Oryctolagus cuniculus: one gene and its partners. The protein of the gene in region 2 purifies or fractionates together with the protein of the main gene of each other region. This does not show direct contact. Links are inferred from orthologs where the notes say so. Each region holds a gene or a part of one and is shown on either strand. Other genes may lie near its edges.

Region 1 (3,199 bases), on a different chromosome or scaffold from region 2:
CGATGGACACGGTGGTGTCTCAGGGAACGAAAGGGACGCTTGAGACAAGTGTCTACCAGGCCACCCACAGCTGAGGGCGGGACACGCACAGCCCGCGGCCCCTCCGCCCCGCCCCCAGGGCAGCCACCCTGCCGGCCCCGGAGCTGCCCCAGCCCTGCGGCCACCGCCTGTCCGCGTCCCCGCCGATGTCCCCACTTCTTCTCCGGGGCTTACTGTCCAGTCCAGAAAGCAGCAAGCCACCAAAGCTGTGCTCTTAAAACCTTTCCTGGCAACCCCCTCCACCCTCGTGGTCTGCAGGATGAAGTCCAGCACCTCGCAAAGTGAAACCACACAGCCACCGTCCACAGCCACTCCGTCCGCACCAGAAGAACGAGCGGTTCCCGAGGCCCACGGCCAGCGCCTGCGAACCAACCCTAGGTGGTGACGCTCCTGCTGGAGGCGGGCGTGGGCACCCGTGTTCTGGCTGAACGACAGCTGACCAGGCACAGGGCCCGCCCGCGCACGGCACGGCACGGCTCCCTCGGGAAGCGGCCGGCCCTGCCGAGCGCCCACCGGGAAAAGCTCTCGGGAGCGCATCGATACCCTGATTCCAGTCCGTAAGAAATCACTTATGGATAGTTTAATAACAGACGAACATTTAAAAATCTTCCCCAAAACGTCACTCAAGCGGGCTTTACGCAGTGGTTCTCGGGGGGAGAACACGGTTTGACACTGAACGTTCCAAGGTTTATTGGCTTATCAATCCTCTCACGCGGTCTGAAGTGATGGCTACTGTGAGGAGCGGAGCAGGCGGCGCCGGGGGCGGGGCGGCCGGGCTCAGGCGTCCTTCTTCTCCAGCAGAAGCCGGTGCAGTTCGTCGGCGTCCTCGCTCGTCTTCACCCGGATCAGCATGGTGGCCGGCGTGCTGGCGCTCTTCGCGTCCAGGGGCGGGTTGGGGATGCAGACGATCAGCACGTTGTTTTTCCCGGTCCGGCTGCAGGGCATGTTGGGTGGAACCAGCACATTCAGCAGTATGTTGCCTGCAGAGACGACAACGCGCATCAAAACGGCACCGGCACAGCGGGAGCAGGTCCTCAGCGGGCCACCCGGCTCCTGCTGCCACCTCGGCACACCTAGGCGCGGAGCCTCCGGAGTCTCCACACCAGGCCCTGGGCTTCCAGGGCACAGATGGCGGCTGCGGCGGCCAGAGCCCTGGGGGAGCGGCCTCCTGCGACCCCTCCCTCACTGCGCGCCTGCGGCAGAGCACAGGGTCGCGGGCCGGCACCTCCGTCCTGGGGCCCAGCACGGCTCACAAGGCCGCAGGGAGATCACCGGGTGCCACTGCCCACAGGCCAAGCGCACGGGAGCTAAGAATGCGCCCTCCCCCGGGTGTCTTCGGGCACACGGAGGAGTCCGCTACCCTGCTGACTTCACCTCCAGCCTGCGGCGCCGCCCCCAGCACTTCCTCTCTGGGGACGGTTTCCAGGGTCACACGCCGGGCAGGGAGGGGTGGACAGCCATGTGCCAGTGACCACTAGCCATTTAAAAAGGACTCCCGTCAATGGTTCACTCCTCTTGGTGTGCATTAAACCCCTGACCTACTCTGCCAGCTCACGTTTAACAAAAGGGGACTGAGAGTTGTCCTGGAGACAGCAAGGATGACCTTGGCCTCGACGACCGCTCAACACAGCCGTGAGTGCACCGGGCCCGTCCTCGCACACCCACCTAGGTTGGTGTCGGCCCGCACCAGCAGCTGTGTCTTCTGATTGGCTGTGGGCTTCAGATGCAGCGTGCCCACACCCTTCTCCTTAAACTCATTGTCTTTCTTGTAAAATAGTTTACACCTGTGGAGAAAGAGCGTCGGCGTGAGGAGCCACTCAGCACCAAAGCACGTCACACGGTCCTGCAGCGGCCACCAGGCGCTCCTGGGGACACGCTGGGGACACGCTGGAACGTTCCAGAATGACTGGCTCTGGGACGAAGCGAGAAGCCCTGGCCAGGTGTTGCACAGCCTCTCCCATCCTCTCAGAGCGGAGCCCACAAAGCTCCCGCAAGGACGTCTTAAAACCATCCTCCCTCCAGCACGCCCGGGCACAGCCAGACGCGGCACGCCTCCCCGCTGCTGCTCTGGCCCTGGTGAGCTGGAACAGGCGCTCTGTGCGCCTCTCCCCCAGCCCACTGTCGTCCCTCCGTGGAACTTCCTAATTCCCAAGGCACCTTCAGTGCTGATGTCCCCTCATGCTGACAGGGTCCCGTGAGCCAGAGCCGTCAAGTGGCTCCGAGCACCCACAGCATTTCCTTGGGGTGTAATTCACAAAAACACCAGATGCTCCTCTGATTGATGCTAATTAGAAAAAATCAGTCACTCCTTCATGTCATCTCTATCATCAAACTTTTTTTTTTTTTTGACAGTGAGAGACAGAAAGGTCTTCCTTCCGTTGCTTCACTCCCCAGATGGCTGCAACAGTCGGAGCTGTGCTGATCTGGAGCCAGGAGCTCCTTCTGGGTCTCCCATGTGGGTGCAGGGCCCAAGGACTTGGGCCACCCTCTAGTGCTTTCCCAGGCCACAAGCAGAGAGCTGGATCAGAAGTGGAGCAGCCGGGACTAGAACTGGCGCCCGTATGGATGCTGACAATGCCAAGCAGCGACTTCACCTGCTACGCCAGAACGTCGGCCCCGATACATTAAAACAACAACAGTGGTCTGGGCTGATTTCCTCTGTGGAGATGAGGTCATTCAACTTTCTTTCAGGGATTCTTCTGAGACCAGCAGCTCTCCACAGCGCAGCAGAGGATGGCTCAAGTGCTTGGGCCCCTGCTCCCATGTGGGAGACCCGGATGGGGCTCTCAGCTCCTGGCTTCAGCCTGGCCCAGTCCCTGCCGCTGCAGCCATTGGGGAGTGACCCAGCAGGCTTAAGAATCCTGTCTCTCTCTCTCTAACTCTGCCTTTCAAAAGTGAAAAATAAGTCTTATAAAACCAAATCTTGAAACCGCTAACAGGTGATTTTCTTTGTGGGGGTAGTGGGGGGAGGAGGACAGGATGAGATAAAATGAGGCTGAGGGGAAGACCACACCCCCTCGAGCAGGAAACGGCCAGCTGTGCCCAGCACCTTTCTGACCTGGTGTGTGTCAATGACAGGCCAGGAACTGCCGCACAGCGGGCCCCGGGACAGAGGGGACCCCGCTACCCATGCTTTGGTCCAGTGGCCCGCCCGTCTCTG
Region 2 (4,265 bases):
GTACTGTTGAATAGTAGTTTTACTGTTAATTTACATAGTACAACACATTAACGACAGAGGTCCTACATGGGGAGCAGTAGTGCACTTATTTTCTTAAACATAATGCCTGCTAGTTGAAGCATGTGTATGTCTATTACGCGTATATATTATGTATATAATATGTGTATATGTCATGTGTATATATGTGTTATATAGTACTGGGATATCACCTAACCTGTAATGTCAAGTCGACTCCATAGCTTATAACTGTGATCACGTACTGCATTTCTTGCATACCAGGAAATATGCACAGATGATTGCATCTGCTCCTCACAACAGCTTGTAAGGCCTACTTTAAAGCTTTCATTTTATAGAAGAGGAAGCCAATGCTTGGGTTTTGAGTTATCCAAGGTCAAAGAGGCAGAGCCCTGTGGGTTTGACCACGAACCCCTTATATATCTAACAAAACCTTAGTGAAGCTGTACATAATGTCTAATTCTGCTTTAGGCCTAAGAATCATGGCCACTTTTTCTCAACCAGTTTTCCAATTTTTATTAGAGATCATTAGCTCCTGTGTTTGATTTTACTATCTTCTTCCTTTCTGCCCGGGGTAGGAGGTTACTATTTTTATGTTACATGCCTCTTCAGAGTCTAAATTTACAGCCAAGAGCAGCAAGAACACGGCTCGGCCGCGCGCCTCGGGTCTCGCCCTCCTTCGGTTTGCCTCAACCGCCGACTTCCTTTTCCGTTCTTCGTTGAACTACGTTTCCCAGCGGGCCGCGCGGCCGAGCGCGCGGGCTCCACCGGTCCTTCCTTCCTCTTCACCTATCACCTGGGCGCAGCGTGATGATGCAAACGCGTCGGGCGCTTACGAATGACGCCGTTCTGGCTCGCGACCGCGGCAGCGGCCTTAGTAGCGGCAATAGGCGCAACGGCGGCGGCGGCGGCGGCGGCGGCGACTGCGGGGACTACGACTACGACGACGGCGGGGCGGGCACTGTGCGCAGAGGGGAGGGGTAGGCGGGCGGCGCCGGCGGCTTCAACTGCGGCAGCGACGGCCAGGGCGACGGAAGAAGAACCTCCAGCAGCCGGCGCTCGAGTTAGGCCTCGGCGACGTCCGCCGCCGCTCGCGGCATTCTCCGCGGCGGATCTCCATAGAGACTGTGACATACACAGAGGCGGGAGTCCGCGGGAGGCTGCCGGACGGGAGCCAGCTCCTCGGCCTCTGCAGTCGGCCTGCGCGCACGCTCTTTTCGCTCCGGCTCGCAGCCTCGCGGTTCCCGGTGTGCCTGCGCCCCGCTGTGTGGGCAGCGCAGACTGACTTTTGGGCCGGGGCCGGGCGGGGGGGGCTCTAAGGCGGTCGCCTCTGCCTCTCCCGCCCCCTTCCCCGCCCCAGAGCGGGAAGCAGCCGAGGCTCCGCCATGGCCTCGGGGGCAGGAGGAATGGGAGGGGGCGGTGGCGGCAAGATCAGGACGCGGCGCTGCCACCAGGGGCCAGTGAAGCCTTACCAGCAGGGGCGACAACAGCACCAGGTACGGGACCCCGACGCCGCCGTGGCCTGGGGGTGGGGGAGTCGGAAACTCGGCGGGAGCGACCGGGGAGTGTGAGGCCCTGGCGCCCCACGTGGAGCGGCCGGGAGGGCCTGAGTAAAGGCCTGGAAGCCCAGGCCGCTGGGGTGGCGACGGGAAGTGGGCTAGGACGGGCCCAGCCCTGCGGCGCACACGTGTGCTACTGCCCGCCTCTCCCCGGCCCTCTGGCCCAGGGGCTTTCCCGGGGCGGAGCAGGGCGGGAAAAGAGTGTCTAGGCTTAGGATGCGCGTATTTCTTCATTTTTTTGGGGTGGGGTGGGATGGGGGAGGGCAGGGATTGGGGGTTTGAAGATATTATGTCCTCTGGAGAGAAAAGAAAAAAGCCGTGGCGAGAGGCCTTTATGATTTCTGGTGACTCGAGTTTCAGAGCGGGGGCTGCCCGGAGTGATCGGCCCCCCGAGGCACGCGGGGGTGGGGGTGAGGGTAGTCAGTGTGAAACGGAAGGTGGAATAACTTAGTCTCAGCCTATTGAATTCTCGGAGGGTCTGAGGGTATTGGTTTAGGTCCCCACCGGCTTATAGTTATCATGGCACCGGGACATTTTGAAAGTCCCTCTCCACCCTTACGTCTTTTCTCTGCTGCGCTACCCCCCCCCCCCTTTATTTTGGAGGCTGGAGTTGGCCATTCTCCACAGTTGACCGGGATTCCAACTCTGATCTCATACACAAAATATTTTAATATTATGGGGCGTATTCTACAAGTTAAGGAACTTTTGATACTCCAGTAATGTTGGTGGTCTTATGATTTAGCCACTGTGTGCATTCTCGAGCGTTTACAGTTAATAAGTTTATCCTAATTGTAATTGAGACATTGATTCTGAAAAATTCCGTTTTTCAAATGCTACTTGTTAGAAGGACAGAGTAGGAGAACGTTAAAACCCTATTTTAATAAAGCCACTTATAAACTTTTTCAATGACACTAAGGTGGGAGATGTGTTAAACTTGTTTAAAAGAAATCAGGAGGGTCTGATAGCTTGTTGCATAATGTTAAAGGTAGACTTCCTTCATTATTCTGGGTTATAATAAAGAATTGGACTATTTAGTATGTTTGGTTGTGCTAAGTTGTATCATTATCAGATATTTGAAAGTAAAGATTAGAGGGAAACTGGTGTATGTGTTAAGTTGTTCTCTACCCGTGGTTACAATGCTTGGCGTTACTCCTACCAATTTTCCCCTGATACGTACAGAAAGTGCTTGTTTTTCACATTTCTTTGTGAGGAGCAGGGATATTTGTAGGCAGATTTAAGATTAGAATTCAGGTCACAGCCTGGCTAAATAGCCTAACCAAATGCTTTTGTGGAATGGAAGTTAGACAGAACATGGTTTCTGTTTCTCCCAAGAATAAATGTCCTAGAGTGCTTTCTTAGAACTTGTTTTATCAGCTGTAGAAAAGTGAAGTGTTTGGCATAGATTTATGGATGATTTGGACAAAGTTTAAAATCAAGCTAATGTAGTCCAGGTGTCAAAGATTGCACTTAAAGCTTATTTTTGGATGTATTTACCTAAAGTAATTTTCGGAGAAATCATGCCCAAATTATCACTGATTTTCAGACGGTGTGGTTTTGAGAATCTGATAATTTATCATTGCCCCCGTATCTAAAATATTTTTTGGCTTTTTCTTGCCCCATGTATTTAAAAAAAAATTAAATAGCATTTGAATCTTAAAATAAAGTGCTTTTTTAGTCCTTGCTGGAACTTTGTTGGACCTGACTGCTATCTACTATTCTAAGCTGTCAACTGCATGTTTTGGAGCAGTTGCTGAGTCATCATGAATAGCAAGGAGCTTTATGACATGGCATGTTTAATAGTAATTTTACTTGATTAAGTGTCTAAGGGTTTTGTGGACAAAAATGAAGCTTTTAGTTGTGTAATATAAGATTGGAATAAGAATGAGAGGTCTGGCACTGTCAGTTAATGGATGTTTGCCCATTGAGACCAGCTAGCTAGTGCAGTTACCCAGTACTTGAGACTTCTGCATGTGTTCATTTGACTTGTGATTTCCTGTTTTGACTTCTGATTTAGCTCTGCTGTGAAATGTCTAAAGTTTAACATTTTTTCCTTTAATGTCTGACCTTTAAATTGTCATTTTGCTTCAAGTTGTGGAGACAAATCTGTTAGGTTGCTCAACTACATAATGGGCAGTAACTGTTTAATGCAAGTTGATAATTTTCCCTTGTCTTCTCCCCCATGCCCTTAGGAAATGGTGTCATTTTTTTCTAGTTGGGAGAATGGGGTTAGTTCTGTTCGTTCTCCTTTTGGATTTGTGTGTGTATGGGTGAGTGCAGATTGTCAGGCTCAGACCACTCTGGGGAGAGATCAAACTTTCCTTAATAGCTGCCGCATAAAACTTTAAGCCCATGGTCAAACTAGAACCTTGCCTTTGGAAGAACCTACTGCCACCTCCTGGTCAGAGGAAATTGGGTATTTTTGCCCTTTTTTGGAGGGTGTGCTTCAGAGATATGTCTTCTGGTTTGGAGTTAAGGGAATCCATGTTGAATCATCCTAGATACAGTTTTTATTTTACAAGTTCCTACAGCCAGCTATTTTAAAAAGGGGGGACCCCCCCATCAATAGCTTAGATCAGAATCTGATGATGAACTTTTTTCTGTAAAGTGTCTGGATAGATACTAAATTTGTAGGCTCTGCTGTTGTAAATTATTCTTGGTTTTGTTTTTAAAACCACTTAGTAAATGTAAACA
Region 3 (3,647 bases), on a different chromosome or scaffold from region 2:
CTAGAACCCGGTGTGCCAGTGCCGCAAGGCGGAGGATTAGCCTAGTGAGCCACGGCGCCGGCCTCAAATTTAATTTAAGTACTTAGACTGAGACTGAATTTTTTCCTTTCTTACATATTTGTCCTCATAGTTGAAATGGCACATACTGTAAATTTATAGTAATGTTTGCATTGCTAGGCATCAGTGCACTATGTGTATCTTAGACTTGACAAGCTGCAGTACTGCTGTGTTCTTCCACATTTCAAACACTGAGCATTAGAATGATTGTCATTTTGTTACCCTTGGTATGCACCTGAAGGGTAAAGTATAGAGCTTAAATTTTTTTTTTTTTGGACAGAGTGGACAGTAAGAGAGACAGAGAAAAAGGTCTTCCTCTACCGTTGGCTCACCCTCCAATAGTCACTGTGGCCGGCGCACTGTGCTGATCCAAAGCCAGGAACCAGGTGCTTCTCCTGGTCTCCCATGGGGTGCAGGGCCCAAGCACTTGGGCCATCCTCCACTGCACTCCCTGGCCACAGCAGAGAGCTGGCCTGGAAGAGGGGCAACCGGGACAGAATCCGGCGCCCCAACCGGGACTAGAACCTGGTGTGCTGGCGCTGCAGGTGGAGGATTAGCCTATTGAGCCATGGCACCGGCCAGAGCTTAAATTTTAATCTAGACTTTCTTTGTTCATCTAGAATGGTTGCCAGAATGTAAGCTTCCTGAAAATGAGGGTATTGTTTTGTTCATTTTGTCCTAGCACTCAGTGTCTAAACATCAGATACACTTGTTGAAAAAGGATTAACAACATTTATAGTTCTAGAATTTACCATTGTAGCTATGCAGATGCCAGTGGGTGATAACCTCTTAGAAAGGAAGAAGTGATAAGAAATGAGAAAAAAATAATAAAAATCAGCATTTATGTGATGAGGCAAGGAGACAGGTATGTAAAGTTTAGTTTCAATGGATATTCTATAAATGAGATTTAGTTTCCTGTTGTGAACCACTATTGCTTTTATATAACATGTTTATTAATCTTTTTTTTTTTTTTTTTTTTTTTTTACAGTGCCTTTGCTACCCTGGAAGAGGAGGCTTGTACCGAACTTGTTCCTTACCTTGCTTACATACTTGATACTCTGGTCTTCGCATTTAGTAAATACCAGCATAAGAACCTGCTCATTCTTTATGATGCCATAGGAACTTTAGCAGATTCGGTAGGACATCATTTAAACAAACCAGTAAGTATCAGTTGATCAATTATCATGGAAAAGCGATGGAGTATGGTTATAATCAATGTTAAGAAATAAGCATTTTTGGAGATAGGAAAGGCAACACGTATATCCCCCTCTCAAGTAGGATTTCAAAGATAACTGCATACTTGTGAAAACTACAGCAACATCTCATGAATGCACCAATGCTTATTCCTCTCTGTCCTTTTTGATTTTTTTTGGTTTGGTTTGGTTTGGTTTTTTGTTGTTGGTTTGTTTGGGAGATAGAATGCAAAGCCAGGACCTGGGAACTTGATCCAGATGACAGATACCGAACTCCCAGAGTGTGCATTAGCAAGAAGTTGGAATAGAAAATGAACCTGGAGGCCGGCGCCGCGGCTCACTGGGCTAATCCTCCGCCTTGCAGCGCCGGCACACCGGGTTCTAGTCCCAGTCGGGGTGCCGGATTCTGTCCCAGTTGCCCCTCTTCCAGGCCAGCTCTCTGCTATGGCCTGGGAAGGCAGTGGAGGATGGCCCAAGTGCTTGGGCCCTGCACCCCATGGGAGACCAGGGGAAGCACCAGGCTCCTGGCTTCGGATCAGCGCGATGTGCTGGTCGCAGCGCGCCGGCCGCAGCAGCCATTGGAAGGTGAACCAACGGCAAAAAGGAAGACCTTTCTCTCTCTCTCACTATCCACTCTGCCTGTCAAAAAAAAAAAAAAAAAAAAAATGAAGCTGAACTCAGTCACAGGAACTTCAGTATAGGATGTGGGCCTCCCAGTCTGCATCTTCACCAGGCCAGATATCTGCCCTGCGCCAGTACTTTATGAAAGAAAAAGGATAGTAATGCTTTTAGATGATGAATTTTCAACTTTTAAATTTAAAGGGTTTTGGGTCTCTCACTTCATAAACCTTGTAGCTTTAGAGTACCACATCTAAACATTTTTTTCTCCAGGCCATACAGATATGGGGAGCACACTATTTAAAGGAATAGAAAATGGAATAATAGATTAAAACTGTTGAATAATGGTCAGAAGTACCTTGTCTCTAGGAGTGTATATAGTTCTCAATACTCTGCTGAAGAATAGAAGATTTAATATGTGATTGCATTATGATTCGGTTACACCAAAAATCTGGGATGGCACAGTTGCTGTATTGATTTCTTTAGTGCTTGTAGTTTTGGTTGGTCTTTGGGGGGTGGGTTTTGTTTTCTGAATATCTTTAGAGTCTGTTCCCTTTGTTTACATGATTTTTGTGGTTATTTGGTTCTGTGAGTTATTCTTCAGTTTAAATAAAGACACTTAAATGATTGTGAATCTTTTTCTACAGAAGACTCTAAATTTTTTCCTGACAATTTATAATACACTTTAATAGCAACAGCCATATTACATTTTACCTTAGGACTAAGATTCTGTCACTGGAGAGTAAAATATATATGGTTCTTCTTTGTCATTTAACAAGTGATACATTTTGATGTGACAGTGCACTTACTTATATATGTTTTGTTTCAAAAAGGATATTACTTAAAAATAGAACAATGTTTTGTAATTAAAGATAGGCAAAAGGAAGAACTTTAAAAAGGACTATGTAAAGCAAAGGATGAACCTTAGAATCCCTTCTGTAATTTTATAGGGTTGCTCTAAGTGGATTTTAATTTTCATAGACTCGAAGTAGACATGTTTATGATAGTGGAGCTTTATATGTTTTTTATCCTTGTAAATAGGAATACATTCAGATGTTAATGCCTCCTCTGATCCAGAAATGGAACATGTTAAAGGATGAAGATAAAGATCTCTTCCCTTTACTTGAGGTATGCTGGGCTGGTAATATTTAAGTTAATCTAACACTGTAGTTCCTCAAAAATAGATATTATAATTCAGGATAGGTGTATACTCTAATAGGTAATATTAATACATTGACATTCAAACCCATTTCTTTTGAAATGCTGAATATGTATGTAACGTTGTAACTTTGATTTCTATACTAAGAAAAACTTAGATAAGAAAAGCAAATGGGCCGGCGCCGCGGCTCACTAGGCTAATCCTCCGCCTAGCGGCGCCGGCACACCGGGTTCTAGTCCCGGTCGGGGTGCCGGATTCTGTCCCGGTTGCCCCTCTTCCAGGCCAGCCCTCTGCTGTGGCCCGGGAGTGCAGTGGAGGATGGCCCAGGTGCTTGGGCCCTGCACCCCATGGGAGACCAGGAAAAGCACCTGGCTCCTGGCTCCTGCCATCGGATCAGCGCGGTGCGCCGGCCACATCGCGCTGTCCGCGGCGGCCATTGGAGGGTGAACCAACGGCAAAGGAAGACCTTTCTCTCTGTCTCTCTCTCTCACTGTCCACTCTGCCTGTCAAAAAAAAAAAAAAAAAAGAAAAAAAAGAAAAGCAAATGGACATATGCTTTTAATTCAGTTTTTCCACAAACTTTTTGAAGTACCCTTTGTAACATGGTGTGTTATTTGCAT

The links.
Region 1: the proteins of NUP153 (region 2) and NUP50 purify together in Homo sapiens (affinity purification with mass spectrometry; 8 studies listed by BioGRID and IntAct, counting the BioPlex papers as one, with this or other methods). This does not show direct contact. The link is inferred for Oryctolagus cuniculus from reciprocal best matches to the Homo sapiens genes NUP153 and NUP50.
Region 3: the proteins of NUP153 (region 2) and TNPO1 purify together in Homo sapiens (co-immunoprecipitation; 3 studies listed by BioGRID and IntAct, with this or other methods). This does not show direct contact. The link is inferred for Oryctolagus cuniculus from reciprocal best matches to the Homo sapiens genes NUP153 and TNPO1.

What each region holds. Positions count from the first base shown.
Region 1 is NC_091442.1:119,931,657-119,934,855, reverse strand, and holds the end of NUP50 (nuclear pore complex protein Nup50), read right to left. Parts: intron 1,824-3,199; coding exon 1,705-1,823; intron 1,020-1,704; coding exon 817-1,019; 3' UTR 605-816; downstream 1-604. UniProt on the Homo sapiens protein: Component of the nuclear pore complex that has a direct role in nuclear protein import. Actively displaces NLSs from importin-alpha, and facilitates disassembly of the importin-alpha:beta-cargo complex and importin recycling.
Region 2 is NC_091436.1:144,923,800-144,928,064, reverse strand, and holds the start of NUP153 (nuclear pore complex protein Nup153), read left to right. Parts: upstream 1-1,378; 5' UTR 1,379-1,400; coding exon 1,401-1,511; intron 1,512-4,265. UniProt on the Homo sapiens protein: Component of the nuclear pore complex (NPC), a complex required for the trafficking across the nuclear envelope. Functions as a scaffolding element in the nuclear phase of the NPC essential for normal nucleocytoplasmic transport of proteins and mRNAs.
Region 3 is NC_091445.1:38,084,016-38,087,662, reverse strand, and holds part of TNPO1 (transportin-1), read left to right. Parts: intron 1-1,045; coding exon 1,046-1,217; intron 1,218-2,909; coding exon 2,910-2,996; intron 2,997-3,647. UniProt on the Homo sapiens protein: Functions in nuclear protein import as nuclear transport receptor. Serves as receptor for nuclear localization signals (NLS) in cargo substrates.